7 linked regions of the Mus musculus genome follow. The protein of the gene in region 2 interacts with the protein of the main gene of each other region in a pairwise test. Links are inferred from orthologs where the notes say so. Each region holds a gene or a part of one and is shown on either strand. Other genes may lie near its edges.

Region 1 (3,500 bases), about 56 Mb from region 2:
CCCCGTTTCCTCGGCTACCAAACCTGGTGACTATTTTCCCGTTGGGCTGGAAGATAAACACACAGCACGCCTTGTTGTCCACCACAATAATGTGCCCATTGCGGTCCACAGAAACTCCTTTGGGCCCCATCAGTTTTCCTGATCCAATTTTTGTCTGTTAGAAGCAAGTACAGAAATATACATCAAAGTTCAAAGCATTCCAGAAACCAACCTGAAGCTAGTTAGTTGTCTTAGGAAAACATTGGCTGAAATGTTATCTCTGTCCCAGAAAAATGGCTCTACCATATTCAGCATCTGCTACAGACATTTATATAAAAGCTTTATTTTTAAGGCATTTGCCACCAAATTTGGACCACAGTGCCCTTCTAAACAGACACTTGATGAAAGAGTACAAGGTCTAGAGAGAGATCTTGCTCCTGCCTGTCACTTGCTTTGAGCACACCGGAAACTACATTTCATACTCAGCACTAAAATCCTGGGCAAACTGGAGTTCCGGGAAGAAACGCTAGACACCAGACTCTGTAGCCTAGGAAGTGGAGCGTCAGTGGTGGCAAAAGGAATGTTTACCTTTTATTTTATACTTTTCACGTATTTTTAAAGCCTATTTGTATGAGCTTTTAAATTAAAAACTAATCCCCACTAATTACGTTTCATACATTCTGCTATGAAGCCCTCTCCTACCATATTAGCACTGGCAGATAGAAATCTGTGAGCTACAGATATACATTTTAATTTTTTAGAGTTATTTATATTACTTTATGTGCATGAGTATTTTGCCTATGTGTATGTCTGGGTATCATGTGTGTGCTTGGTGAACTTAGAGGTCGGAAGAAGACATCGAATCCCCTGGAACTGGAATTACAGATGGTTGTGAGCTACAAACGTGGGTGCTGGCTTCTCTACAAAATCAACAAAAGCTTCATCCACTGGACAATCTCTCCAACCTCCCACATATGTACTCTTCATTTCCTAATGCAGATGGAGTTTCTCCAAGTAGAACTTCTTGTGTGACTCTTTATTCTTTTAAGTCTACAAATGACGGAGATTCAGGTGTGATTGCCTTCAAGCAGAGAGACACAATTACATAGAAAGGGAAACATCTTGTCTTAGGCCAGGGAATCTCTTGTGCAAGTTTGATTCTGATGCTGCAATGAAGCCCACGGATCAAAGAGGCTCTAACATAATGGCATGTAAGGAAATCGCTAACCTCTTTCAAGTCTAAAAGGAAGGTATCACGAGAGATCAAAAGGAGAGCTGGCGCTCCGCTCATTAACCGCCTAATACACTACTACTTAACGTTACAAACATCAGTAGTTACTCAGAATGACTCAACCATATGATACCAAGTGGATAATTATCTAGAATGAAAACAGAAGCCAAAGGATTATCTTAGTTCTACTACAGGATGCCCGGATGCCGGCTAGGGCAGATCTACAAGCACAACTTAAAGCTGAAAAACAATGTTGCTTTCTCCCTCCACTATTGTGTCCACTTCAGAAGCACTGAATTCTACAAAGTGAAATAAGAAGCCACACATTTGGCCTCACCGTGTTACCCCCACTATCTTAGACTAGTAAGAAACATATTTCAGATATGTTGGAGACAGTTAAACAAGAGCATTTAACTCAACAAACAGCTTTCATGCTGAAGAGGGAAACGTTGAGACATTTTAGAATAGTAGCCATAAAGGTCGCCATGTTTGTGTTTCATATGTATATGGTTTTTTTTTTTAATTTTAATGTTTTTCTGATTACAAAAGGTTCCCAGCTGGTCTGGAAGATATAAGCCATGAGGGAAGATGAAAGGGAAGACATAAAAGGAGGCAGGGGAGGATGACTACTCGACTACACACCAGATGTCTATAAAAAACGGTAGTAAAGATGCTACACATCTGAGATGGTCAGGAGCAAGTATAAAGACCATGTTGGATCTCCTATAAACTTCCATTGCTGCTCTAGCATCTCTCTTTCCAAGCTGATAGTGCTCCTGCGAACATGGTGAACGTGCCTAAGACCCGCCAGACATTCTGCAAGAAATGTGGGAAGCACCAATCCCACAAGGTGACACAGTATAAGAAGGGCAAGGACTCTTTGTATGCCCAGGGAAAGCGGCGCTATGACAGGAAACAGAGTGGCTATGGTGGGCAGACTAAGCCTATTTTCCGCAAAAAGGCTAAAACTACAAAGAAAATTGTGCTGAGACTAGAGAGCGTAGAGCCCAACTGCAGATCTAAGAGGATGCTGGCTAGGAAGAGATGCGAGCATTTTGAATTGGGAGGCGACAAGAAGAGAAAGGGCCAAGTGATCCAGTTCTAAGCCGATTTTGTTATGAAGACAATAAAATCTTGACCATTCAACCCCTTTGATTACAATTGTTCTTTTGGGAGGGAATAAATTAAAAGCTTTCAGAAATTATATATATATATAAAAAAAGACCATGTTGGGGTAAAAGAGAAGTCAGCTGCACTGTTGCGTTCACTGTCTCATTAAAAGAGCAAAGCAGCAATCTTCTGATACTCAATTGTAGCCTGCACACCTGGGTGAACTTTTTACAGTACTCGAGTGCTCTCATATGCTCTTTTTACCTTAATGGGGTCTAACCAACATCTATCCTAACGAGGTTCTTGCTGCAACAGGCAATATCCTTCTCCATCCTCTGGGGGGCAGGAGTGCTCCAAGGTCTTTGCACTCCACAGTGTCTACAGCACTTGTGACCAACAGAGCCCAACTTTAGGATTTCAGTTCTTCCAAGTATTTATTATGTGTATGGAACTATCAAGTCATGAGTGTAAAATATGTCATTCAGGGAGCCATTCTCTCTCTCAGCTAGCAAACTCTTGCTCAATATGCAAAAGCTGCTTGCTGTTGTATTTGCTCCCAAAGGTACAGATGGCTAATTTTTTTTTTTTTTTTTTTTTTTTGGCCAAAGTCTAAGACAAGCATAAGCAGGTTGTCTCCAAACTAGAGTTCTTCTAGAGGACAGCAAACAGTTTTTCTCCGTGTTCCTACCAGAGTTGTCACGGTTGGGTGTTGGAAGATACAGAACATGAGAGCTTCCTGTACCTGTGGCCGTTATATGGAGCTGTCAGGTTCTAGCGGAACAAAAAGATGCACTATCACACTGTTAAAGGAGACAGCCCTTTATTTTCTTAGATTGAAAAGGTACTGCCTCACATAAAGCAAGGGCTCTAATCTGAGAGTAAAAAAAAAAAAAAATGTAAAACCCATCTCATCTCATAAATGCCATCTTGTAAATACCATGAGGTAACCATGACAACCTAAAGCCTTCCAGTGCCTTCGATCAATGAGAAAGGTTCCAGAATGAATTAGGAAAACACACCCCAAACCCTCAGAGAAGGAAGTAATGTGGTGGCAACTAAACACCTTCATTCAGCCATGAAGCCCAAGTCTCAGCTGCTCACACAAACTTTATGTTATGCAAATGATCACAAGAGGCATGGAGAAAAACATTTCTTAGATGAGGCCCATGTAAAAATTCAG
Region 2 (4,284 bases):
CACCCCAATGAGTCCAAGACTAAACAGTCCAGCTAACACTAATTTCATTAGTGTTGGTCCGTTCATTCATTCTTTCAACTTGTTCTGAAGCTCATAATTAGTTTATTCTTCATGACTTTAAAAAGAAGTGGCAACAGCCCAAGTGTTGGTGTCCATGTGTAATCTGAGTACTTGGGTGGGCGGGGGGGGGGGGGTCATTTGCAGGACAATGAGGAGTTCAAGGCCATCCCCAGCTGCACAGTGAAGGGAAGACTTCCTTTAAGTACTTAAGATCTGTCTCATAACCATACCAAATCAAACAACCAATAAGATAAATCAAAAAGAACCTCTACTCCCCCCAAAAGAAAACAAAACAAAAAGTCAAATAAAAATCAACCCCCCCCAGTATGTTTAGCTTTTTATCTCAGTAGATGCTAGAGGAACACTCAGAACTATTGATGAGTTGAAGCCAGTGGGAAGAGTTCACTATAAATGTTTTCTTCCGACGTATTTTGCGTGGCCAAACTAGGAGACAGGCAAGGATGCGAGAGGGTTGGGGAAGTGACTTTACACTTTTGATAAAGAATGACGGGTTACCACTGCAAACACCCAGCTCTTGAGTGAAAAAGCGAGCGAAGTCAAATAGCTCGCGGGTCAGGGCTCACTATCCTAGAGCCAAACTTTCTCCATGAATCCAGGTAGGTCACCGCGGAAAAGCTACAAAGGAGGAAACACTGGGTTAGGTACTATGTTGCCCAATTAATGTCGGCCTTGGAGTCACCTGAATCCTTCGAGCTACTGCACCCAGGGAGCAAGCTTCTCTTTTCAATTCGGTCATTTCCGTGGGGAATTGCGGCACGCGCAGGTCTTGGGTGTGGCGATATCCAGACAGAGCTCACATCTCTCGGATTTCCAGCTTCTAGCAAACCTACTCAGCCTAGAGAACCACAGACGATTCGGGCCTGCCTTCCTGCAACCCAGTGGCCGCGAATGACCGTGACCCTGTGGCCACTGCTCAGCACCAAAGCCAGGCTGCCGGCTCGGCGCGTGTGAGCTTCTCCCCAACTCGCTCTGCGCGGGGAGGCGGATCCCCTTCCCTGCGCACAAGTCCTTATATGCACCGGTTGCACCGGCCCGCCTTTACTCCAGCCCCACAAATAATTAATGGGGGAGGGAGGACGCTGCTGCCTTTTCCCGCTGCCTCTCCCCACCACCCTTTTCACCATTAGAGTATCTGAACGCAGTCAAGAAACCCCAAGATACGATCGAAGAGCCATTTTGGTGCACTGCACAAATTGGACACATTAAAAATATATATTCAGCATTCAGGCTCCTGCACAGAGAGGCTCAAAAACGGCTGTTTAGATTCAGCACTATTAACCCTCAAAAGCTGGGGCGGAAAGGGTGCGTACCCCTCCCCCACCCTGGCTAGTGGCGGAGGGACCCGGTCAGGAAGCGCGGCCTCTCCCCAGTCGGAGACCACGCCTCTCCCCCCCCCCCCACTCCTCCCAGGAAGCGGTGATAGACAGTTCTGTGTGGTTCTCCACCCCCACCTCCCAGCTGAGTGGAGGAGTTGATATGTCTCATTATAACAGCCAATGCAGCCGCCATCCACGCACAAGCAAAGAAGCATGTCCCATTTAAATACACCCACGCAGCCCCAGCGCCCTTAGCCGATCAGGGCGCGCAGCCCACACGCACCGCGGCTCCGGGCTTGGAGATCCGCGCAGGTCGGGCTCCGGGATCCCGCGGATCGACGCTCTCGGAAGATCGGGATCGGACTCTTGCTGGGGCCCGGGTGGGCGGGGGAGGCTGGGCCCCGGGCCTCTCTGGCGGACAGCCGCATGAGGACGCGAGCGAAATAGACCGGGGTGGAATTGCCAAGGAAGACGCTTCGGGGTGGTTTTGGTCCATTTCTCCCGCGAAGAGTCGACATGGCGAGCGACTCCCCAGCTCGCAGCCTGGATGAAATCGATCTCTCCGCCCTGAGGGTGAGCAGAACGTGTTTTTTCCTTTTTTTCCAATGGTCTAGGGCTGAAAGAGGGAACGTTCCCTGCCTTTCTGTTCTAATTCCGGGGCAGCCGAGGGGTTCTAGGCTGAGCCCCTACCCCTACAGCAGGGGCTGGGCTCCCCTTGTGCTCCTAGGCTGTTCCCGAGGTTCCGCAAGGAAGCTGGTAGAGCTTGTCAGTTTCATCTTCGATCGGTGTAAGAGCATTACATGAAAGGCTGGTGTGTGTGTGTGTGTGTGTGTGTGTGTGTGTGTGTGTGTGTGTGTGTGTACCCGGGCAACCGTCTCGTGCCAAGGCGCGAGACCCGACTGCTCCTTGCTGCAAAAGATTCTCTTGGAGAAGAAAGGCACTGGCCCTTCACGTTTGCCAGCTACCTGCAAGATGCCATCGTGAGCTAGCTGTCTCTACCAGCGGACCCTGCTGCTCCAATGGAGCAGTAATTGCTGCTCTGGGCTGGTCTTGTAGGTGCTAACTGACTCCCTTCCCGGCTTCTGTCTCCGGTGCTGGGGCTCCGGCTCAGCTCTTCCCTATATGCCAGTGTGCACTCACCTTTATCTGTGGTTTGAACTCAGCCCTGCCTATTCCTTCCCTCGGTGACTGTGACCTTTCAGTTTTATGGCTGAACTTCAGCAGGTGAAAGAGAAGCTTAACCGCTTCTCCTCACCACACCGGAACTCCCTGGAGAGATTGTGTGTGCGTGTGTGCCTGTGTGCCTGTGTGCCTGTGTGTGTGTGTGTGTGTGTGTGTGTGTGTGTGTGTGTGTGTGTGTGTGTGTGTGTCCCAGGTCTGTGAACAGTCCTTTGTAAAACATATTCCCTTCCCCGAGCCCGGCCGCTTTGCCTTTACCTAATGAAACACCTCAGACGTCGTTCCATTGTATTGAATAAGACTTTAGTGATCTAGAATCCATTTTGCTGTTGTTTGAAAATCAGACTGCCAGGAATCCCATTGCAGCCTCGACGCTTCCCCACCCCCACCTCTAATCCCAGCACACTCCTTCGGGGAAGGGGGCCGAGCGCTCTTGCCATTTTAATTAGATGCTGCCTGCCAGGAAGGGGGTGAGGAGGGGTGGTGGCCTTGGCAGCAGCAGGCATCTGAGAAAGATTGGACACCAATCTCAGTTCCACTAGTTTCTTCCTCTCCCGAACTAAAAATAAAATAAACAGCAAATGCATATGCTTGATGCCTGGAGGGTAGGTGAGACCTAAGAGATGGTGTCTCATCTCATGTCACCCACCGCCAGTAGGGGTGGAAGTTCAGTGGTTCTCCGGAACACATTGTTAGATTGATGCTAGAATCTTGAGGCCGTTTACCTGTGTCTACTAAAGCCTTCCTGCCCTTACATTTCTCTACAAATATTTTAAGGGGCTAGATACCTGTCTGATGGAGGTGATACTTTTTCTTCAGGCTCCACGAGTCTCTTTTCTTCCCTCTCCTTGAATCCTTGCCCCTTCCCATATCTTTTGGTAGAGAGAGAGAGGTGACAATTCAGAGAGACAACTCGAAGGTTGAGGACTGACTGCCCTATGAAACGGCCTGTTGTGCTAGTGGGGCAGCAGAAGCTCATTCATGCATGATTACAGTAAGCTGTCTGTTTTTCTGGTGCCCAAAGGCCACATTCAGAACCAGTGAGTAGCTAAGTGTGGGGGTTGGGAGCAGAGTGGGTGCTTTAAACAAGCGCGGCTTCCTCTTCACCCATGGTGTGTGCTCTACTTCTGTCTGGGAGTTGCTATGGTGTGAGTTAATCAGGTGGACCAGACTTGGAGAAGGAGGAGTGGCTAAGAGGTGGAGGCCTGAACAATGAGGCAGCCTTGTGATATAGCTGAGCAGGAATCTTAGCATCCTTCTCCCTGATATGATTTTTAAGTTGGGGGGCTGGGAGGAGGGGACTAGCTCCTGTGGGCAAGGTTTTCTGAGATACCAAGCACAGAGCACCTTGATGCATACTTGAGGAAACTCCCGGGCTCTGCTATGTGTATGTGGAACAGATATCTTTGTATGATTTACTGAGATTGCTCTTTGTCACCCAAGAAGCCCAATGAATTCTCTGCCTGCACTGGTGTGTGCAAAGAGCTAGGATAACAGCTACTCCCAGTGTCTGGGGGAGCTATTGGCTGGAAGACTTACATGCAGATGGGCAGACAGTTGTACTCAGCAGGCCTGGGAGCGTCAGGCAGTCTTGTGGTAGGCTAGGTGTGCAGGTCCGTTTGTCTCCGAGGGCCAGTAGGTGATGCCCACAAATGGAAGCGTAGATGGTGGCTGCCTTCCCAGATTTGGAGAGGTTGGTTCCTAAGCT
Region 3 (3,500 bases), on a different chromosome or scaffold from region 2:
TGGCAGCACTCAGGGAATGGTGTCTATTGTTCTTCATCTGTTAGAAGAAATTGTATTTATCATGAAAATTACTTATTATTTTTTATTTTGAGATTATAATACACCTAGATCCATTTCTCCTATTAAGCTATTACTTACATGTATGTATGAATGTGGAGAGAAGCATGGTTCATCTATGGAGATCAGAGAGTAGCCAGCAGAGGCTCTCTCCTTCCACCACGTGGGCACTCTGCCCACTGCAGCTCTGGCACCCAGAGCAGAAGAAGAAGCCATTAGCATGGGTAGGGAAGAGAGTGAGCAGGCTCTGCAGGGCTCTAGGCAGGAAGCAGTGTGTCAGAAAGTGCAGCCTGTGCACTTACCTGTGCCACCTGCCCTCTGTAACTGAAGGTTCTAGGTGCTGGCAGTGGTTGTCATAAATCATTGTGATTTATGCGATCAGAGGAAGGCCGCTCGGTCACATTCAGCTTTTATTCCTTTGATGGTTTTACTCCACGGTAGTGGGATAGTGTCAGGAGACATGCATTCTTCATGGACCTCTGGGCTACTGAAGGCTAGTGCAGAAGCAAGCCATCGCTGTGAAAGAATAGAGATAGGCATCTCCACCAGGGTTGTTTGGTTTTTCCTTTTTTAAGAAGAATACTAAGATTAGGATAATGGCTTCAATATGATGTGGTCTAAATTAGTAGCAAAGCTTGAAATCTGGCCTGCTTTGACAGAGTTCTGTCACAGCAGCACTGAAAAATATATGAAAGTGCAGCTTGTCCTGTGTGCCCGTTACCTTCCCAACCAGAGGGACAGGTGGCTAGACATCAGAGGCCACAGGGTCATTCAGGTTAGAGGTCACTCTCCTGAGAAAATCAAGGTTTATTTTGACATTGCTTGTTCACTGCCATCTAAATGCCTTCGCCCCTCTGCCAGCAAAGCTGACTGATGACCTTGGCCTATTAAAAGGCATGCGCGTGAGTGTGTGTGTGTGTGTGTGTGTGTGTGTGTGTGTGTGTGTGTGTGTGTGTGTGTGTGTTTGTGGGGTCTTTTTGTTTTTTACCTATTTGACACAGTAGCAGATATGGAGATATCCAGGTCAGCTCAGTCCAGAATCTCCAAAATAGGGCCTTGGGAAACTATACTGCATACCAACAGTTCTAAAATGGAAATCTGGCCCCGGATTCCATCTCAGAAGGAAAATTCTCGTACCTTCTCCATCCCTTCTTCAACATTCAAGTCCTTTTCTTTTCCCCCATTCTGAAATTATTATCATCAACAGAATGCCAGGAAGATAGTTAAGCTGCTGTATGATGGAAGGATAGAGGTGGACAGTGGATGGATGGGGGAAGGACCAATGAGTACATTGCTGAAGTGGTGATGGACGAGGGAAATTGGGTGGGTGGATAGATGGATGGCTAATAGATGGATGGATGGATGGATGGATGGATGGATGGATGGATGGATGGATGGATGAGTGACTCTTCCAAGCAATCTCTCAGGTAGGCCTGGGTAGCGAGCTTGCCTGCGGATGGTGATAGTCCACCTGGGAGTTACTGAGGGAGCAATAGTGGGTGATAAACTCAGTCTTAGCTAATGGTCATCCTTAGTCAGGGAAGGATGGGAAGGCAGTCAGGCCCTCTGGGTTAGACATCTTTCTTTCAACAGAACCCAGACATGGAGGTGGATGAGAATGGCACCCTGGACCTGAGCATGAACAAGCAGAGGCCTCGAGACAGCTGCTGCCCAGTCCTGACACCCCTGGAACCCATGTCTCCGCAGCAGCAGGCCGTGATGAGCAGCCGATGCTTCCAGCTGAGCGAGGGGGATTGCTGGGACTTGCCTGTAGACTACACCAAAATGAAGCCTCGGAGGGTAGATGAGGATGAGCCCAAAGAGATTACCGTAAGGAATTGTGATGTGAGAGTACCTTCTCCTTGCCCCTGCATGTATTTGTTAGGAGCCAAGAGAGGCCTTAAGGAATAAGAGTCATTTTCACACTCTTCAAAAGAAAATGCGTTTTCTTCCTAAATTTGATGCTTAGCTGACAAGGACTCAGAGAACAGTTTTGGTTGATTCAGGGGAGATATACAACTGATATTGATTTGAGAGAAACAGACTATGGACTGTTTCAGACTTTATTTTCTAATAAATATGTATAATTACAAGTTGTTTCTCTAGGAAATTAAAGAAAGGATCATATTATTTTATTTTCAACAAATCAATACTGTATTTTTATGATAAAGTATAGGTAGGAGTTTTGGTGGCACATGCCTGTAACCCCAGTGTACAGGCAGTATAGGTAGGAGGGTCCAGAGTTCTAGGCCAACTTGAGCTATATAGTGAGACCCAATTGCATTTAAAATAAGTACTTATTAGTGTGTGCTACAAATAAGCTCAAGCACTTAGACTGTACTTCTTGTATAATACATCTTAGTACAGTCATCTGATTCTTTGTTTATGGCAGTATTTTTAAAATGCCTATGTTAAAGTATATATTTTAGTTTGGGTTTTTAAATTAGTTTACTTATGCAATAGAGTACCACTTGATCTAAAAGATATTCTTTCTTGGTGTGCTTGTGCTTATGGGTATTAATGTATGGGGGTACCCACATTCACAAATCAGAGAAGGCTGTCTTCCTATGGCCCTCTCCGCCTTATGTCTCTAGACAGCAGGGCCTCACGGAGCTCACTGTCTAATGAGACTGACTTGCCAGTAGACTCTTGTGCTTCTTTTTCCTTTCCCAATACTGACGCTAACAATACCCACACCACATCCAACTTCTTACATCGATGTTGGGAATTCAAACTTTGGTCCTTGTGTTTGCAAGGCAAGCATTCTTACCCATCAGCCATCTCCCCGGCCCCAAGAACTTCTTTTCTTCTTCTTTTTTTTTTTTTTTGGTGTTTTGTTTTTTGTTTTGTTTTGTTTTGTTTTGTTTCTCTGTATAGCTCTGGCTGTCCTGGAACTCACTTTGTAGACCAGGATGGCCTTGAACTCAGAAATCTGCCTGCCTCTGCCTCCCGAGTGCTGGGATTAAAATTGTGTGCCACCATGCCCGACTAAGAACCTCTTTTCTTTACTTTAGACCTTTTTCAATGCTCAACTCTGAAAGTTCTCATATTTATCCATTGTAAAAAAGAAAAAAAAAAGAATAAAATCAGAGTAGAATTTGGAGCCCTCATCAGACTAACAATGACTTAGAGTGGGAAAGGGACTGGTGACAGGTCTTGCATTGAGCCTTTTTTGGGTTTTCGTACTGTGTAGTCCTGTTTGATCTCAAAGTTACAGTGATCCCTGCCTTGTCACCACACCCCACCCCCAATGCTAGATATAGAGATATGTGCTGCCTCACTCAGCGTAGGCGCAGTCTACCCTTGTTCCTCTTCAGTTGCTGTCATAAAACAACATGGCCAAGGCAACTTAAAATTGGAAGGGTTTAATTGGGTGTACAGTTTCAGAGCATTAGAGTCCACAGTGGCAGAAAGAAGGCATGGCAGCATGCTAAGAGCTCACA
Region 4 (3,500 bases), on a different chromosome or scaffold from region 2:
ACACCCATACAAATACACACACATACACACACACACACACACACACACACACACACCCGCGCGCACGCACTACCACTCTCTACATTTAGGATACTTCATCTTGCCAAAATGAAGATCCATCTCCATAATTGCTCCTTCCCCTTCCTCCAGCCCAGGTATCCCCATCCTACCCTCTCTCTGTGACACTGACAGCTCTCTGTGACACTGGCCTGTCCCGTGTCCCTCCCGTCCATGGGGTTTTTCAGCACCCATCTTTTGATACTGCTGTTTTCACTCAGCAGGATGGCTTCTGTGTTTGCTCCCATTGTCCCATACAGCCAAATGTCCTTTGTCAGACCGAATGGTGTTCCAGCTTACACAGAGACTGTTTGGTGATGCTGACACAGTGATGCTGAGACGGTGACACTGATGCTCACTGGCTGGTGGGGGTGGGGCTTCCACTTCCAATCGTTGTGAGTTATGTTACTACAGACAGGAGTCAGTAGTGTTATGTAGCTACAGACTGCAAGCTTTTAATTTTGATAGACCTGTGAAGTTCTCAAACAGGAAAGTCAGAACTGCAAAAACAATTTCCAGAAACCCTGGTCCTAGCTTCCCATTTGCTTTGTCATTCTGCCTGCCTGTCTGCCTGTCTGTCTGTAGCCTGTCTTTCTGTCTCTGTCATGCTTTTCCTCTTTCATTCTGTGGTACTGGAGATTAAATCCAGGACTTCATGGTGCCAGGCGAGCACTCTACGCTGAGCGCTATATTGAGCACTTTCTAGTTTGTGTTTTCTGAGACAGGGTCTCTCTCTCTAAACTTTACACGACCTTGAACTCACCCTGTAGCTCAGACAGGCCTTGAACATGTGATCCTCCCGCTTCAGTAGCTGGGATGACAGGCATGTGGCTGTGCTGTTGTACTCAGGCTCTCCATCTCCTTCTCTCTTCTTTTGTCCCCTCAACACCCGCTCCCCTGCACAGATGTGCACAGGTCCACACACACGTGTGAACAGATTGTTTGCTCTGAGTTTATGTATTGAAAGTCACGTGTCTGCTTCTCTTCTTTGTCTGTCACCAGGGGTAAACTCCTTCCTCGTGTACATGGCTTTCAAAGATCGATTCCAGCTGACGGATTCCCAGGTAAGAAAGCCAACTTTTCTGAGTAGGTTCCTGATGTTCTGTTTAGTTTGGTTATGGCTGCCATCTGGGGAAACATTTCTTCCGCGTGTGTATATAGCTCACTCATAGCTTGATGGGATATGGGTGGCAGGTTTGGAGTTTAATGAAGTTAGCCTTTGATGGGGTCTTGCCCTTCTAAACTCTCATATCAAACCGTAACCTCTAATCAGGATACTGTGTGGCCTAGTGGTAGTGCTGAGAGTCTTGGTCACACCTGGTGCAGAGCTGGGTGTCATCTCCTGCATTTCACACTTCACCCCTGTCCTTTTGGTTGGGCTGCCTCTCTGACTCTCAGAGTGGCCAGAAGGCAGTCCCCTTGAGCCTATTGCCAAGCCAAGCCTGTCACAGCAGCCTGGGTGCCATTTCAACCCAGGGGATGATTTCCTTTGACCAGAAACTTGCAGGTTTGGGTCTCTGAGTTCGTTCCCTTCTTCCTCAGATCTATGAAGTGCTGAGCGTGATCCGGGATATCGGTGCCATAGCTCAAGTCCACGCAGAGAATGGTGACATCATTGCTGAGGTAAGGGACCCATCCTTTCATATTTTCTTCCTCTCCTGGAAAGCAAGCTCAAGAGTGTAGGACAGCTTTTGAAGCTGGACCACCAGTGTGAAAATCCAGAGGGCCGTATGGTCTGGTACAAAGGCTCTTCGGGGACTTTCTGCTAGTGTTTGGTAAGGCATATTGCTTATTTCCATTATAGAAAGGCCCCTTCTTTTGGCACTGCAGTGTAGCTGTTCTGGATGGAGTCAAGGAACACCGTAGTCACACTTGGATACCATCATATTACTGTGCTGTGGGCCAAGAGTGGCTGTCAGCTTCCCTGGGGATGCTGAACATATTGAGGGGCTCTAGAGGATCTGTCTTGCTCAAGTGGGATTGGAATTAGTATAGTGATGCCTCTTTCTGAGGTCTGGCATGACACCCGGTATCCAGCAGGGCCCACTGAACTTCTTGCTAGGGAGCTTTTTTGCCCAGGTCTCTTGGCATCCGCCACCTGAAACCCACCTTCTCTGACCACTCGGCTTTCTATGCACATTACAGGAACAGCAGAGGATCCTGGATCTGGGCATCACGGGCCCCGAGGGACACGTGTTGAGCCGGCCAGAGGAGGTGAATATCTGGGACTGGGATGTGCGACATGATGTCTCGTAGATTCTGTGCAGGGCCTCTCCTCCACCCCTGTACCTGTTGAAAGTGGGGCTTTTTGGATGTGCTTTGGTCTTTCAAAGAAATGCGTGTGCATGTGCATGCATGTACATACCCATTTGCAGTACCGCCAGTCCCTTAAACATAGGATGGAACCACAGAGTTCCTTTACACCTCTAAAACGCACATGATGAGTCATTGCTGAGTGCAGCACACTCAGTAGGGCCTGGTGGATAGAACCATTGGGAGCCGTAAACAGGATTAGCCCAGGCTGAGAAGCACAAGGTTATCACACTGGACCGTGGAGCCTGTAGGTCAGAAGGCTGCAGGTATCATATCCGTGCTTTTTCAGAGGCTGGTCCTTCAGTATAGGAAAAGGTCTGTAGAACGGCAGGCAGTCTTACAGCTCTGAGGGGCAGAGGAGGATGGAGGAGTTCAGCAAGGAACAGTCTAGACTGCAAAGATTGCAGGCAAGGGGAGACCCTCAGGGACCTGGGCGGATGGAGGTTCAACATTTAAGGTGTCCCTTCCAAAAACAGGACAGAGGGGGATGTTTGGTAAGTGGCCTGCGAAGGAGATGGGGCCACTAGATCCCAGGGCTTGGCAGAACAAAGTGTGGGAACAGGAAGGATGCCCACAGGAGCTAGCTCTCAGGGACCCACTGTTCTGGTTAACCCTTTACGCAGAAAAGTTACACCCATGCGTACGTGGCTCAGCACAGGGCCTCCTCTTTGGCCATTGTCTCACAGAATTAGAGCACTGAGTGACCAGTTCTGGACATCCTGAGGCTCAGCAGGGCTTAGGAGCATGGTGGGAGGAGCCTAACTTAACGCCAGGCACTGAGTTTGATAAGGCTCTTGAGTAATTTTGCCCCATGTCAGTCCTATGGGTGGGAGGAATCGAGGGAAGGAGGGAGGGAGGGAGGGAAGGAGGGAGGGAGGGAGGGAGGGAGGGAGGCAGGCAGGCAGGCAGGAAGGAAGAAAGGAAGAATAAGATTTCGAGCCCTTCACCCTTGCTGTTCTTCCTGATGGTGGCTGTTTCTTCTGTCAAGCTGAGTCTTTTGTGTTTTAAACTCTTGAGGGGGCGACACAGAGAATCAAACATGGAACCACTCTGAATGGACTTGGCCATACAGCCCACTTTAGGAAGAGACCCCCCAGCACATAGGAGGCAACACTAATGTTTTAACTTTG
Region 5 (4,136 bases), on a different chromosome or scaffold from region 2:
GGTTTTTGTATCAAGGCCAGACTTGGCTATTACATTAACAAGAAAATTAAAACTTACTGTTGCAGGAGCTGGGGTGGGAGGTGGGGCATAAGATGGTCTTTCTGTTTGAAAGAAAATAAATAACTTCTTGTAAACAACTGAGATATAATACTATGCAACAAAACTACCAATGGTCCTGCTTTGAAGAAAAAAAAAAATGAGAGTATTTTGGAATTCCCATTTGCTAGGGCATTAGTCTCGTATTAACACAGATTGATAAATATAAAAATTGAAACTTACTTGACATTTTGGAAGATTAAGTTCTCAGTTCCTTAAGAATGAATCTGAGACACTAAAATAAAAAAAAAGAAAAAAAAGAAAAAAAAAGAGAATCAAAACTCAGCAAGCATAAGAGAATGTTTTCCTAAAGAATAGGGTAGTTTGGTATTTCTGAGCAAAATTACTTCACTATTAATTGCTAGTAATCAAGCCTTTTGCATATTTTTAACTAGTTCTTACATTCATTTGATTGATCAGAATTAAATGATGAAAATAAATTACTGGGAAATTTAGAGTTATATTAGAGATGGATTTTTAGGTTTTTGCTTATGATACTGAGAGCAGCGTCTTGTATGGAAAACATTTTGCTGATGCCATGCAAACGATTACTTAGACTGATAAAAAAAAATAATGACAATAGAATGTGATGTATTATCCGGGTGACCCCAACAAGGCCTACCAGATACTGACAACCCCTGATTAGAAGCTCTGCCTTATTTAGGGAACATCTTTCATTGAAACAGAGTCATGTCTTATTCCTGGAGGCAGTGTGAAAGGTAAGTCAGTATGATAACAAACTTTACATTCTCTTTTGTTGGTAAATAGTTTCATAAGAGCCGGGAACAATTTTCTGAGGCTACTTACAGGACACATGTTGTTCCTTTACAGCTCATTTCAGAAATTATCTCAGGTACTTTCTTGATACATCATCGGGACAGAATAAATTATATCTCGTCTCTGTATTCCTACATGGCTTACAAAGACCAGCGGCACTTTCCCTCCAACAACATGTGAATGTGCTAGGTTTTGCCTTGCAAGAGAGGAGGGATGGTCTAATTTATTACTGTATTATTCAAACATAGCTCAAGTCTTCATAAATTTGGTCCTAGTATGGCCAGCTCGAAACATGGACATATCTGAGCTTGTTCCTTACTCAACATAGACCACAAATGGTAATGCATAAGAGATGAAAACTTATTTTTAGAAGGATGGTGAATACACTTTTTTTTCTCCTAGTTTTCATTTTAAGGAAGTGCCTCAAATCATCAAGGTAAGAGTTTCTGATGTGGAAATAGCTAAGTTTTTTCAATTCATCTCTTTTTTTCCTTCCATCAACACCCAGTAGGCCTTGCTGTGGGGAGCCCCGACAGAAACTGTGACAGGGTCCCTGGTACCTTACACTTCACTGCTAATACTTACAAATGATTGCTCTCCCGGGCTAAGCATATAAACTCTAGTAGTGAGTGGATCTAACCATTGTGCCTGGGACGCAACTCTGTATTTATTGAATTAATTACCTTACTGGTCAGGCTTATAACACAGTCTTACTCACTAGTCACAACGACCCTACCCGATGCGTATGACTGTCCCCATTTTACAAAGGAAGAAAACAGTCTCGGGGCGATTAAGTGTCTAAGGCCAGAGACCCGGAATTGTCAGAGATGGGTTTAAACCCAACCCACACCGTCTCAGACTTCACTCCAGGCCACCCCGGGAATCCTTAAGTCGCTGCCTGAACCAAATAAAAAATAAAAATAAACAAAGGGGGGGGGGGACGACCACCTTCGTGGTGGGTGAGGATCCCCGCTGGCCTTGCCCAGAGGGTTTCCGGAGATCCTTTCCCTGGAGTTTTGTGGCGGGCGGAGGGCGAGCTTTTCTGGAAACTCCCCTGCAGGGGGTTGTGCATTGGTGCTCACCGGCGTCGGGAGTCCCGCGGAAAGGGACTACCGGCGCCTCCGAGGAGCTGTTCCGGACGGGGTTGCCCCGCCGCCGCTAGGCCTCACCGAGGCCGCACCGGCTCTAGCTCCCGCCTCGCAGCCGAGGCCGAACCCCAGCACCCCGCGGGAGCTCGGGGTCCCGCCAAGCAGAAACACCACCGCTCGCCACCCTTCCCCGACCGGGTTGGGCCCACTGGGAAACACTCACCCGCGGGCCGAGCAGGCGCCCGCAGCTCCGGCTTCGCTTCCCTTTGTCCCGCGCTCGCCCCGCCCCTCGCGCCGGAGCTTCCGCGCTCGCACTTTCCACACGCTCCCGGGAATTGTCTGCCGGCCGCGGCCGGCTCCCGGCAGACGAACAGCCCTTCCAGTGAGCACGCGGCGAGGCTTAGGGCGCCAAGGATTTTTAAAAAAAATTTCGTCAGGCTCCTGGGTTTCCTCAGAAGTCTTCCAATTTGGATCCCGTCCCAGTCGGGCGCCGATTCGTCACGGCGAGGAGGGCGGAGAAGGCTGGGCCGCGTTGCGGGCCCTGGTTCGCGGCCCGGCGGCAGGAACTGCGCAGACTGCGCGCCCGGGGCTTCACTGAGGCGGTGGGCGCCGCCGCGTGAGGCGGGCGCCGGAGGGGAAAGGCTCGCCGGAGCCTCTCCCGGGAGAGGGTGGGACGCAGTTCCCACACACCATGCACTCTGGCTTTTCCCTTCGCTCTGGTCTTCAGTCCTCCGCTGATGGACGTATGAATGGAGAAGATGGAGAATGTAGGCGGGGAGGACCCGGGTCGCTGCGTTTAGGTCCTTGCTGGCGCCCAGCGGGGCTCCCCTGCCTCCGCCTAAGCGAAAAGCAACACGGGAGTTTTGTAGTTTTCCCAGATGTTTCTAGAGGTCGAGTGATGGCGGCGGGTTTCTGCGCCTAGGGTCCTCAGATGTCAGCTCACTCCTTCCAGCTGGCATACCTGTGACAATTCACATCCCTTCCCAGGAGGGCCAGTTCAGCTCAGCCTCGCTTGTCTTTAAACAGTTCAGTGTTTCTTTGTGATGCCCTCCTGGAACTTTCCCAAGCCGGTCCTGTATCTGATACCCTCTATATGGGATTGGGCCATCTGCTATCTTGGAAAGTCTTGAAAACAAAGTTTTAGGCATCTGGACCGGACAATTTCATAATTACCAATGATTTCTAAGGGCTAGACATGTAATTGTTCAGTGAGTGTGCGTGGAGCCACCTTTCTGGACCATTCCAGGGCTATTTTTTTTTTAAACTAATTAACGAATACTTTGGCGGATTATACAAAGTAGAGAACACTTGGCTAGTGTGGGTCACGTCACGGTGGAGGAAAAATGAACAGAGCATCTGTGGTTATCTAAGGTCAATGTTAGCATCTAGAGAAACTGGCTGAATGCTGGGACTACCTGTTGGCCCTTATCCTGGTTGTGACAACAGGAAGTGAGGTATCTTTAGAAGTGATAAGTGATAATACTGTCCAGTTCTTCCATCGCCCAATATTTTCATACTCTGGTGAAATTATCGAAATGAACCGGTATTGTAAGGAAAGACTAAAGGAGAGGTTTGTTTTGTTTTGTTTTCAGATGAATGCATAGCATAAGGGAATGATCTGAAAATGTTTTTTTTTTAACACAAAGAGCATAGAGAAGGTGAATGTAGGATCCACACAATTACAGCAGGGATCCAGTGGCTTCTTCCTCTGCCCAGTAATTCCAGCCTTGTTACTTCCCGGTCTTAGCAAGGACTATGGAATGGTGGAAAAGGGGGTACAGGCACAGTGCTCCGGAGCATGTGTGCACGCGCATGCATGCTGCAAGGTGCCATTCCCAGCTGGGCAGTTAGTTCTCTGAAACTCAGCGGTGTCTGCATGCTGTGGTGGGAAAGGGCTGGCACAAAATTGGCTTAAAAAAGGGGAATTGATTGAGTTCTAAGTGGACAGCGGCATGGCATTCTTTCTTGTTCTTTTTACTTCTGTGAGGCGCTAGGGATTGAATCCAGGGTCCCGAACAGGTCCTGCAGCACTTTTCTTTCCTTTCCTTTTTTCTTTTTTTTTTGGTTTTCCGAGACAGGGTTTCTTTGTGTAGCCCTGGCTGTCCTGGAACTCATTCTGTAGACCAGGCTGTCCTCGAACTCAGAAATCTGCCTGCCTCTGCCTCCCGAGTGCTG
Region 6 (4,005 bases), on a different chromosome or scaffold from region 2:
TGTTTTGAGAGTCGGAGATTAAGCCAGGAAATGTTGGAATCATTTCTACAAGACTCGTTTTTTGCTTTTTGGTTTTTTTTCCAAATCTGGATAGAGGCCTCACATGTAAAATGAAGAGCTTGAACAAAACAATGGCCGAACACTACAGTTGGCTGATCCTGATTCTCCTAAGTCTTTTTTTTTTTTTTTTTTTTTTTTTTTGGTTTTTGGTTTTTCGAGACAGGGTTTCTCTGTGTAGCCCTGGGTGTCCTGGAACTCACTCTGTAGACCAGGCTGGCCTTGAACTCAGAAATCCGCCTGCCTCTGCCTCCCGGGTGCTGGGATTAAAGGCGTGCGCCACCACGCCCGGCTTTTATCTGGTGTTTTTTTTTGGAATAAAATAAAAACTAAAAATGTCATTACACATTTTGAAACATTTTTTTCATTTTGAAACTTTTACACCCACTAAAAACCTTAAAGATACATCACATAAACGAGCCAGCCATTTTATCTCGACTAGCATCAGAATAAAATACAGTACAAAGTCTGATATTATGTGAAGTCAGAGTATAAGTGTCCAATTTAAGGGGAAATAATATTTTCTAGCTGTAATTTTGCTAGTTTTAACTCAAACACAAACTTCTGTGCTTCATTGGCAATCACCTTCTCATCGTAATCATTTTTCTAATTGATATGTACATTTTGATTAATCTTGTTTCCTTATCACATTAAAAATAAAAAAACACCCACATCTTACCATTTCATTCTGTGCATCTCAGTTTTAAAAGCCTTGAAATGTTCAGACTGTACTACATTAATGGCAGTATGGGAGCGTCCCTAATCCTTAAATTGTTCTGGGAGCATATGTGTAAGGGTAAAAACTGTCCAGATAGTACTAGTCTGAGATAAATCCCTTCACTTTGGTAAATACTTCCACTATATTTAAGTGTCTGAATCATGTAATTTTTTTAAAATGGCATTCTGTAGGTCCTTTTCTGTGATAGTTAAAAAAAAAAAAAAAGAAATACTCAACCATTAATGCTGTTTATCCCCAGGTGGTGGTATTACACGCCATTTTATTTTTGCATTTCCCCAAAACACACAATTCCCCTGGTAATTGAACAGTATTTTAAAATTAATTACTGGATGGTTTATAAAGTGTGGCATCCGCACAGTCCAATTCTACAGATCTGCTCAGTGGCTTTTCCCTTTGACAGGCTGCTGCTTTTAACAGGAGAATGGTTTGATCAGTTGTCTATGAGGTCTGATGAAGACAAAATAGCTTTCTTTTCTAGCCCCCTCCAGGCTTTGGAGAAATCCAGGAAGTGGGTTTGAACTTAGCCGCAGTGAATCTTGCGATAGTAAACTTTTGGGGTGGTCAGAGTAACACCTTTCATTACAACTATTAGCTGAATGGCAAAAGACTCTCGGGTTTCCCAGTGTTTGCAGAGGCATTATTTCAGAACAATTCCATTTGGAAAGAAACGCGATTGTAAACCGTTTCTATTTCAAGCCCATAAAAAGCAGAACTCGGATGAAAGGCAAAGCCTTGACCTTTCTATTTTAGACTTGCATCTGGGTAGCTAAGCCATCTGCTTTTCTCCCACCTCCCACCCCATCTACTTAATGGACTGAAAATACTGCACTTAATTGCAATTTTATCCAACCAGGCTGACTTTTCTGACTTACGACCTCGTCTTTTCACCTAACGGCTTGCTCGGTAGGGTTTTACTTACCCTTCCTTCCCAATTCCTCCCTACCGCTCTCAATTATATGCTGTCAAATGTCTGCAAAGTATGATACTAGGCTCTCACGTAAGAAAGCCATCTATAGAGCCTTTTCATTTCAACAGTGAGCGCCTGACGGAAAATCTAGGGGTCTGGGCTCCTCTGGGCACCGACGGTATTAGCTTTGTTGCGGTTATGTAGAAAGGCACCTCTTACTGCCTGTAAAGGAGTCGCGCGTCCCCACCGCCCAACAAGGAACGCAGCCCGGGAAAGGACAGACAGACGAAGGTGGGAGGAAACCCCGGGAAGAAAGGCGCAGGGAAGAATGGGGAGCCCAAGACGGGAGGGAAGACCTTGGCAGGAAGGTTCTGGAGGAAGGTGTGCGAAGTGGCCGAGAAGCTGGCCGAGAGGGCCAGCGAAGAGGGGCCGGGGGCAGGCGGGGGGGACCCCGCCCGGGTGCCCCGCGGGGACATGGGTAGCGGGGACGGGAACCCAGGCCGGCACCCCGGGGATGGCGGCCCACCCGCGGCCGAGCCCCGCTACTTAACTATTTGTAGAGCTGCTGCAGGCACAGGTCCAGGCTCTCGCCCTCCACCTCCTCTCGGGTGATGCGCTCCGACAGCGGCCGTGGGAGCGGGGGCAGCGGTGGCAGCTGGGGCTGCGGCGGTGGCGGCACGGCCGAGTGCCCCGGGGCAGCCGCTTCCTCCTCTTCCTCCTCCTCGCCCTCCGTCGCCGTCTCCTCCTCCACCGCCTCGTCTTCGGGCTCGGGGTCTTGGTCCTGCTCCCCCTCCTCGGTCGCCTCTACCGTCGCAGCGTCCTCCCCCGGTTCCTCCCCCGAAGCCTCGGCCGCCTCAGCCGCGACTAGCTCGGCTTCGGGCTCGGGCTCGGGCTCGGATTCGGGTTCGGGCTCTGGCTCGCCGCCACCGCACGGTCCGCGGAACTCGCCCAGGAACAGCTCCAGGAAGCGCCGGTAAGTTTTCTCCTCAGGGATGCAGCCCGCCATCGTTGCTCATGCCCCGAGGTCCACCGGGAAGGGGGTGGGAGGTGAGCCCAGGAGGAGGAGGGGGCTGCTTCGGAGCCTCGCCTCCCGCTACGGAGGGGGAACGGCCGCACGGGCACCGGCGATCAGCACTGGGTTGCCTGGAGAGGGCTCCCGCAGGCGTGCGCGCCACCGAGCTCGGACGTGCGCGGCCCGGGGGCGGGGGCGGAGCGCGCCACCCCGCTCCGGTCTGGAGGGAAAGTTGGTGGCGGGCGCGCGCACAGGGTCCAGCGGCGGCCCACCCGCAATCCCTACCGAGAGCTCAGCCCACGCTGCCTAGAGACTGTCGCCATGGCAACCGGTTCTAATTAAGAATTCCAAGGTCCCTCCCGTCGAGTCTGTGGAGTGGTAAGGACGCTGGACTCCTGCACTCCAACTTCGAATGGTCTTTGTGGGGTGAAGACCCTAGTTTCATGATAAGCACTGAGACATCTCTGTTGGTTCCACCAGGAGTGTACTGACTTCAGTTTCCTTATCTGCTTGCCTTGCCGTAGTATATCTCTTGATCCGATGGCACGCAGTAAACACCTTTTACTAATGATATGTGTTGAAAAAGTAAAGGTCCAGGCACGAGCACCCAAAAAGGGTAGTTTCCTTTGTCTAGGTTCTTTCGTTTGATTCTATGTATCCTCCTTTCTCAAAAAGATGAACGTGAGAAATTAAACAGTAATTCGCTTGCTTAAAAGTCAAGACTTTCTAGCTGTGGCATTGGTGTTAGAGCCCCTTTCAAAGTCTCCAAAGCCTTTAGAATCTTTCCCCTTAACTCTGCTCTATGAAAATCTAGCTGTGCCTCGTATCTACACAATGTCTTATTTATATAGGGCTTTGCAGTTTACACGTGTTCGTCTCTAATCCTCACAGCCTTTTAAGGCAAAGGTTATTACCGTTAGGATTCTGTTTTACAGATGAGGAAACAAGCCTTCAAAACAGTGACTTTGCTCAAGGTCAAAAGCAAGCGATGCAACAAGAATTCAATCCGAGATTGAAGTGGTAGATTTCACTTGTAAGTTTTCCATCACCCAAAAACCCCTGCTTAGTTTCTGTATAATGCATGTCATTATATTATATTATCCTACCATATAATCCGTATTTTGTCTATATTTTGTTTGTTCTTCCCCACCACCTCCTGTGTCTCTTCTTACTCCCTCCCCCAAGCTAGAACTGAAATGACTTTAAATTATTCTAATTTTCTTACCAAACTATAAACAAACCTATTATTTTCAGGCTTCATGGTGATGATGTTGGTGGTGGGTGCTTTGA
Region 7 (3,500 bases), about 69 Mb from region 2:
TTTATTTTGATTAATTTTGGTTTATAGAGACAATTGAGAAGAAAAAAGTTCAAAAACCTCCCATTCTTCTGCACCCATCCCTCTGGATTACGGAGGGCTGCTATTTTCATTACATTTTGCCTTTTTACTCCTTCTCTGTGTCTGGCTACATTAATAATAATAATAATAATAGCTATTATTATTATTATTTTAAAAGCTTCCAAACAAGTAATTTACTCTAGATACATCCACATGTATTTCTTAAGGACAAGGACTTCTCTTATCAACTGCAGTACAAGCTAAGGAAATGTGTACTGCAGAAATGCTGTTCCCTAATGTTGAACTCATTCAAAAAATAAAGTTTGCCAGGTTTTCCAGTAACACAAATAGGCCTGGTAATTGGAATATGACTTTGATCCTTTGATACCTTCATTCATCTCATGGTTAAACATAGACTGAAGCAAATATGTGGTTGTAGCCATATTCTTTAGTAAGTCCCCCTTGTCTTTAAATTCTGAGTCACTCGCTTTATCTGACAGAGTAGCGTAGGGTTTGTGTGAACGGGTGGGGAATGTCAAGGATGGAGGGAAGTAGCTCCTATGGAAGTAGCACATAGGGACATCTGTGAAGTGGTACTCCTAGCACGTAGCAGGACTGTCTGCTGGAAGTCACCTCATCATTTGTGCCGCAGCTATGGTTTCCAGCTTTCTGAAAAAGGAGGCCCAGTTTGAACATGAAAATCAAATGGCTTATTGGCTGCGTTTACTCAGTGTGCTTGTCTGCCCTGCTGCCTTCTAGCCCGTGCCTAAAGGGTTACCCACGCAACAGAAGCCGGACTTGCATGAGACCCCTACAACCCAGCCACCTGTGTCTGAGTCCCACCTGGCAGAACTCCAGGACAAAATCCAGCAAACAGAGGCCACCAACAAGGTACATCAGGACTCGCTCTAGTCCCGCTTCATCATCCTGAGTCTGTGTTAGAGTCTGAGAGATGAACGCTGGGCCATCCCTTGTTCTCTACAGAATGGCCAATTTAGAAGTATAATTCTATACTTTTATCGTTATTTCCTTTATTGTATGTGTGAGCTGCGTGTGTGTGTATGTGTGTGTGTGTGTGTGTGTGTGTGTGTGTGTGTGTGTGTGTACTACAGCTCAGTCTCAGGAATTGCTCCTCATGAGGTATCTATCTACCTTGGAGTACTTTTGGAGACCATCTTTCACTAGGACCCAGGGCTTAAAAATGAGGCTAGCCAGAGATGCATCTGTTTCCACACTCCCAGAGCTAGGATTCTAAGCACACACCTCTAAGTCTGGCTTTTTATGTGGCTGCTGGGGATTCAACTCAGGTCCTCTTCTCTCTGTTTCTTATCAGGATTTTAGTTTGTCCCACATATACAACATTTCCTGATGCCTTTTGGGAATGAGATCAGATCTCCATGTAATCTTTAACTCTACAGTAAAGCTCTGATGCAAGAAATTTGTGCTTTAATTTTTTTGTTTTGTTTTGTTTTGTTTGTTTTTTTTTTGTTTTTTCGAGACAGGGTTTCTCTGTAGCCCTGGATGTCCTGGAACTCACTCTGTAGACCAGACTGGCCTCGAACTCAGAAATCCGCCTGCCTCTGCCTCCCAAGTGCTGGGATTAAAGGCGTGCGCCACCACGCCCCGCTTTAAATTTTTGTATATCTTCTTACCCTTGTTAGCTCATGGATTTTAATGTCTGTTTTCAAGGCACTTGTCCCAAGGGGGCTCTTGAATATCTGGTCAAGTGTGCTCTTATAATAGCCTTTCCTGTACTAGATAGCAGGCACTCCTTGGTCATATGGGAGAGTCAAGAGAATACGCTGGCTGTTGACATAAAGAACGTGTGCAGTGCATGAGAACTGAGGTATCTGCGCATTGAGGGAAGCAGTGCACATCTGCTGCCTCTCTTCATAGTCTGATGGTTACAGTGCACGGGAAAGGAGTAAGGCGGTATGCCCTAAGTTGTTCTTTAAACCCGAAACGCACAGGACAGTGTGATGGCCCTCGAGGTTAAAAGTCATCATGGAGCTAACAGGACTTTCTCTGCTGAATTCAGATTCTTCAAGAGAAACTGAATGACCTGAGCTGTGAGCTGAAATCTGCACAGGAGTCATCTCAGAAGCAAGATACGACAATCCAGAGCCTCAAGGAAATGCTTAAAAGCAGGGAAAGTGAGGTGAGAGGCTACGTGGTCACAGACCTGTGGGGAGACGGGTCACGCTGGTGACGTAGATAAGTGCTCTCTATTTGTAGATGTCACTATTGTCAGGCCAGCAAATCTTTCTATGGGAAATTGTCCGCTAAGTAGGTGCTTTGGAAAGCTCCTGTCCCTAACATCTGCACAGGAGAGAGAAGGACTTTCCGAGTCGTTGGCTAACCTTAGCACGCTATCCTCCTCCTCTCATTTCCAGACTGAGGAGCTGTACCAGGTGATCGAAGGACAAAATGACACAATGGCAAAGCTTCGGGAAATGCTGCACCAGAGCCAGCTCGGACAGCTCCACGTACGTGAGGGCCACAGGCAGGAATGGGGCCGCCCTGGCTGCCCGGGTCTCCCGGGGGCTCCGTGCTTCCCTCCCTGTGACTGTGATTGTGATTCTCCTCTTTTCAGAGCTCAGAGGGCATTGCCCCTGCTCAGCAACAGGTAGCCCTGCTTGACCTTCAGAGCGCTCTATTCTGCAGCCAGCTTGAAATACAGAGGCTCCAGAGGCTGGTCCGGCAGAAAGAACGCCAGCTGGCGGATGGCAAGCGATGTGTGCAGTTAGTGGAGGCTGCAGCCCAGGAGAGAGAGCACCAGAAGGAAGCTGCTTGGAAACATAACCAGGTAAATCATTAACCGTTCTCTTGCTCCCAGCGCTGACTTTGCCCCACCATGACTTGTGAGCAGGACAGTTTGTGCCCAACCTAAACCCTTGCATCGTTGGCCTACCCAGTGTGGTCAGTGTTTGTTGCCCCCAGAGGTCATGCACCAGATGAGCAGACTGTGTCCTGGAAGTACAAAGGTAGATATCAGACTCTGCCTTTTTATTTCTACTTTAGCAGGAGAGGCAGTCACACGACAGATGTTAATAGGATAAATACTCCCAAAGGGTCTGGCTTATGTTCCCATAGCTATGTCCAGGAGGGTCGGAGGAAAGAAGTCAGAGTGCTTACGCCTCGTGCAGGAGGAGATCGCTGAGGTTATAAGGATAAAGTCAGCTGAGGCCGATGAGGTAGCTCAACAAGTGAAAAATGCTTGACTCACAAGCGTTTCCGCCCCAGAACTATGCCGGAAGGAGAGAACCACTTCCTGAAAGTTGTCCTTTGACCCCCACGCGGGCGTACCTGCACTCATATAAGTAAGACACACACCAATAAATAAGTAAATACATAGATTAATTAAATTGAAAAAGTCATTGAGTAAAGTAGAGAAGGGCATGTCCATGCATAATTAGTCATATAATTTAAATGTATGTAGCATTATACAGTCCTTAAATAGTCCTCTATCTTGTTAGCATGGA

The links.
Region 1: the proteins of Tnik (region 2) and Trim2 interact in a two-hybrid assay, tested with the Homo sapiens proteins (2 studies listed by BioGRID and IntAct). The link is inferred for Mus musculus from reciprocal best matches to the Homo sapiens genes TNIK and TRIM2.
Region 3: the proteins of Tnik (region 2) and Myt1l interact in a two-hybrid assay, tested with the Homo sapiens proteins (2 studies listed by IntAct). The link is inferred for Mus musculus from reciprocal best matches to the Homo sapiens genes TNIK and MYT1L.
Region 4: the proteins of Tnik (region 2) and Dpysl2 interact in a two-hybrid assay, tested with the Homo sapiens proteins (2 studies listed by BioGRID and IntAct). The link is inferred for Mus musculus from reciprocal best matches to the Homo sapiens genes TNIK and DPYSL2.
Region 5: the proteins of Tnik (region 2) and Smarce1 interact in a two-hybrid assay, tested with the Homo sapiens proteins (2 studies listed by BioGRID and IntAct). The link is inferred for Mus musculus from reciprocal best matches to the Homo sapiens genes TNIK and SMARCE1.
Region 6: the proteins of Tnik (region 2) and Ppm1e interact in a two-hybrid assay, tested with the Homo sapiens proteins (2 studies listed by BioGRID and IntAct). The link is inferred for Mus musculus from reciprocal best matches to the Homo sapiens genes TNIK and PPM1E.
Region 7: the proteins of Tnik (region 2) and Pde4dip interact in a two-hybrid assay, tested with the Homo sapiens proteins (2 studies listed by BioGRID and IntAct). The link is inferred for Mus musculus from reciprocal best matches to the Homo sapiens genes TNIK and PDE4DIP.

The regions. Positions count from the first base shown.
Region 1 is NC_000069.6:84,172,780-84,176,279, forward strand, and holds part of Trim2 (tripartite motif-containing protein 2), read right to left. Parts: intron 2,415-3,500; exon of another isoform or gene 1,859-2,414; intron 155-1,858; coding exon 1-154. UniProt on the Homo sapiens protein: UBE2D1-dependent E3 ubiquitin-protein ligase that mediates the ubiquitination of NEFL and of phosphorylated BCL2L11. Plays a neuroprotective function. May play a role in neuronal rapid ischemic tolerance.
Region 2 is NC_000069.6:28,261,730-28,266,013, forward strand, and holds the start of Tnik (traf2 and NCK-interacting protein kinase), read left to right. Parts: upstream 1-1,484; 5' UTR 1,485-1,913; coding exon 1,914-1,970; intron 1,971-4,284. UniProt on the Homo sapiens protein: Serine/threonine kinase that acts as an essential activator of the Wnt signaling pathway. Recruited to promoters of Wnt target genes and required to activate their expression. May act by phosphorylating TCF4/TCF7L2.
Region 3 is NC_000078.6:29,849,884-29,853,383, forward strand, and holds part of Myt1l (myelin transcription factor 1-like protein), read left to right. Parts: intron 1-1,650; coding exon 1,651-1,887; intron 1,888-3,500. UniProt on the Homo sapiens protein: Transcription factor that plays a key role in neuronal differentiation by specifically repressing expression of non-neuronal genes during neuron differentiation.
Region 4 is NC_000080.6:66,827,542-66,831,041, reverse strand, and holds part of Dpysl2 (dihydropyrimidinase-related protein 2), read left to right. Parts: intron 1-1,059; coding exon 1,060-1,121; intron 1,122-1,599; coding exon 1,600-1,680; intron 1,681-2,202; coding exon 2,203-2,271; intron 2,272-3,500.
Region 5 is NC_000077.6:99,228,218-99,232,353, forward strand, and holds the start of Smarce1 (SWI/SNF-related matrix-associated actin-dependent regulator of chromatin subfamily E member 1), read right to left. Parts: upstream 2,801-4,136; 5' UTR 2,185-2,800; intron 332-2,184; 5' UTR 287-331; coding exon 280-286; intron 102-279; coding exon 58-101; intron 1-57. UniProt on the Homo sapiens protein: Involved in transcriptional activation and repression of select genes by chromatin remodeling (alteration of DNA-nucleosome topology).
Region 6 is NC_000077.6:87,356,195-87,360,199, forward strand, and holds the start of Ppm1e (protein phosphatase 1E), read right to left. Parts: upstream 2,801-4,005; 5' UTR 2,710-2,800; coding exon 2,255-2,709; exon of another isoform or gene 1,832-2,254; intron 1,700-1,831; exon of another isoform or gene 1,335-1,699; intron 1-1,334. UniProt on the Homo sapiens protein: Protein phosphatase that inactivates multifunctional CaM kinases such as CAMK4 and CAMK2. Dephosphorylates and inactivates PAK. May play a role in the inhibition of actin fiber stress breakdown and in morphological changes driven by TNK2/CDC42.
Region 7 is NC_000069.6:97,756,208-97,759,707, reverse strand, and holds part of Pde4dip (myomegalin), read left to right. Parts: intron 1-777; coding exon 778-909; intron 910-2,056; coding exon 2,057-2,176; intron 2,177-2,411; coding exon 2,412-2,504; intron 2,505-2,611; coding exon 2,612-2,824; exon of another isoform or gene 2,825-3,338; intron 3,339-3,500. UniProt on the Homo sapiens protein: Functions as an anchor sequestering components of the cAMP-dependent pathway to Golgi and/or centrosomes.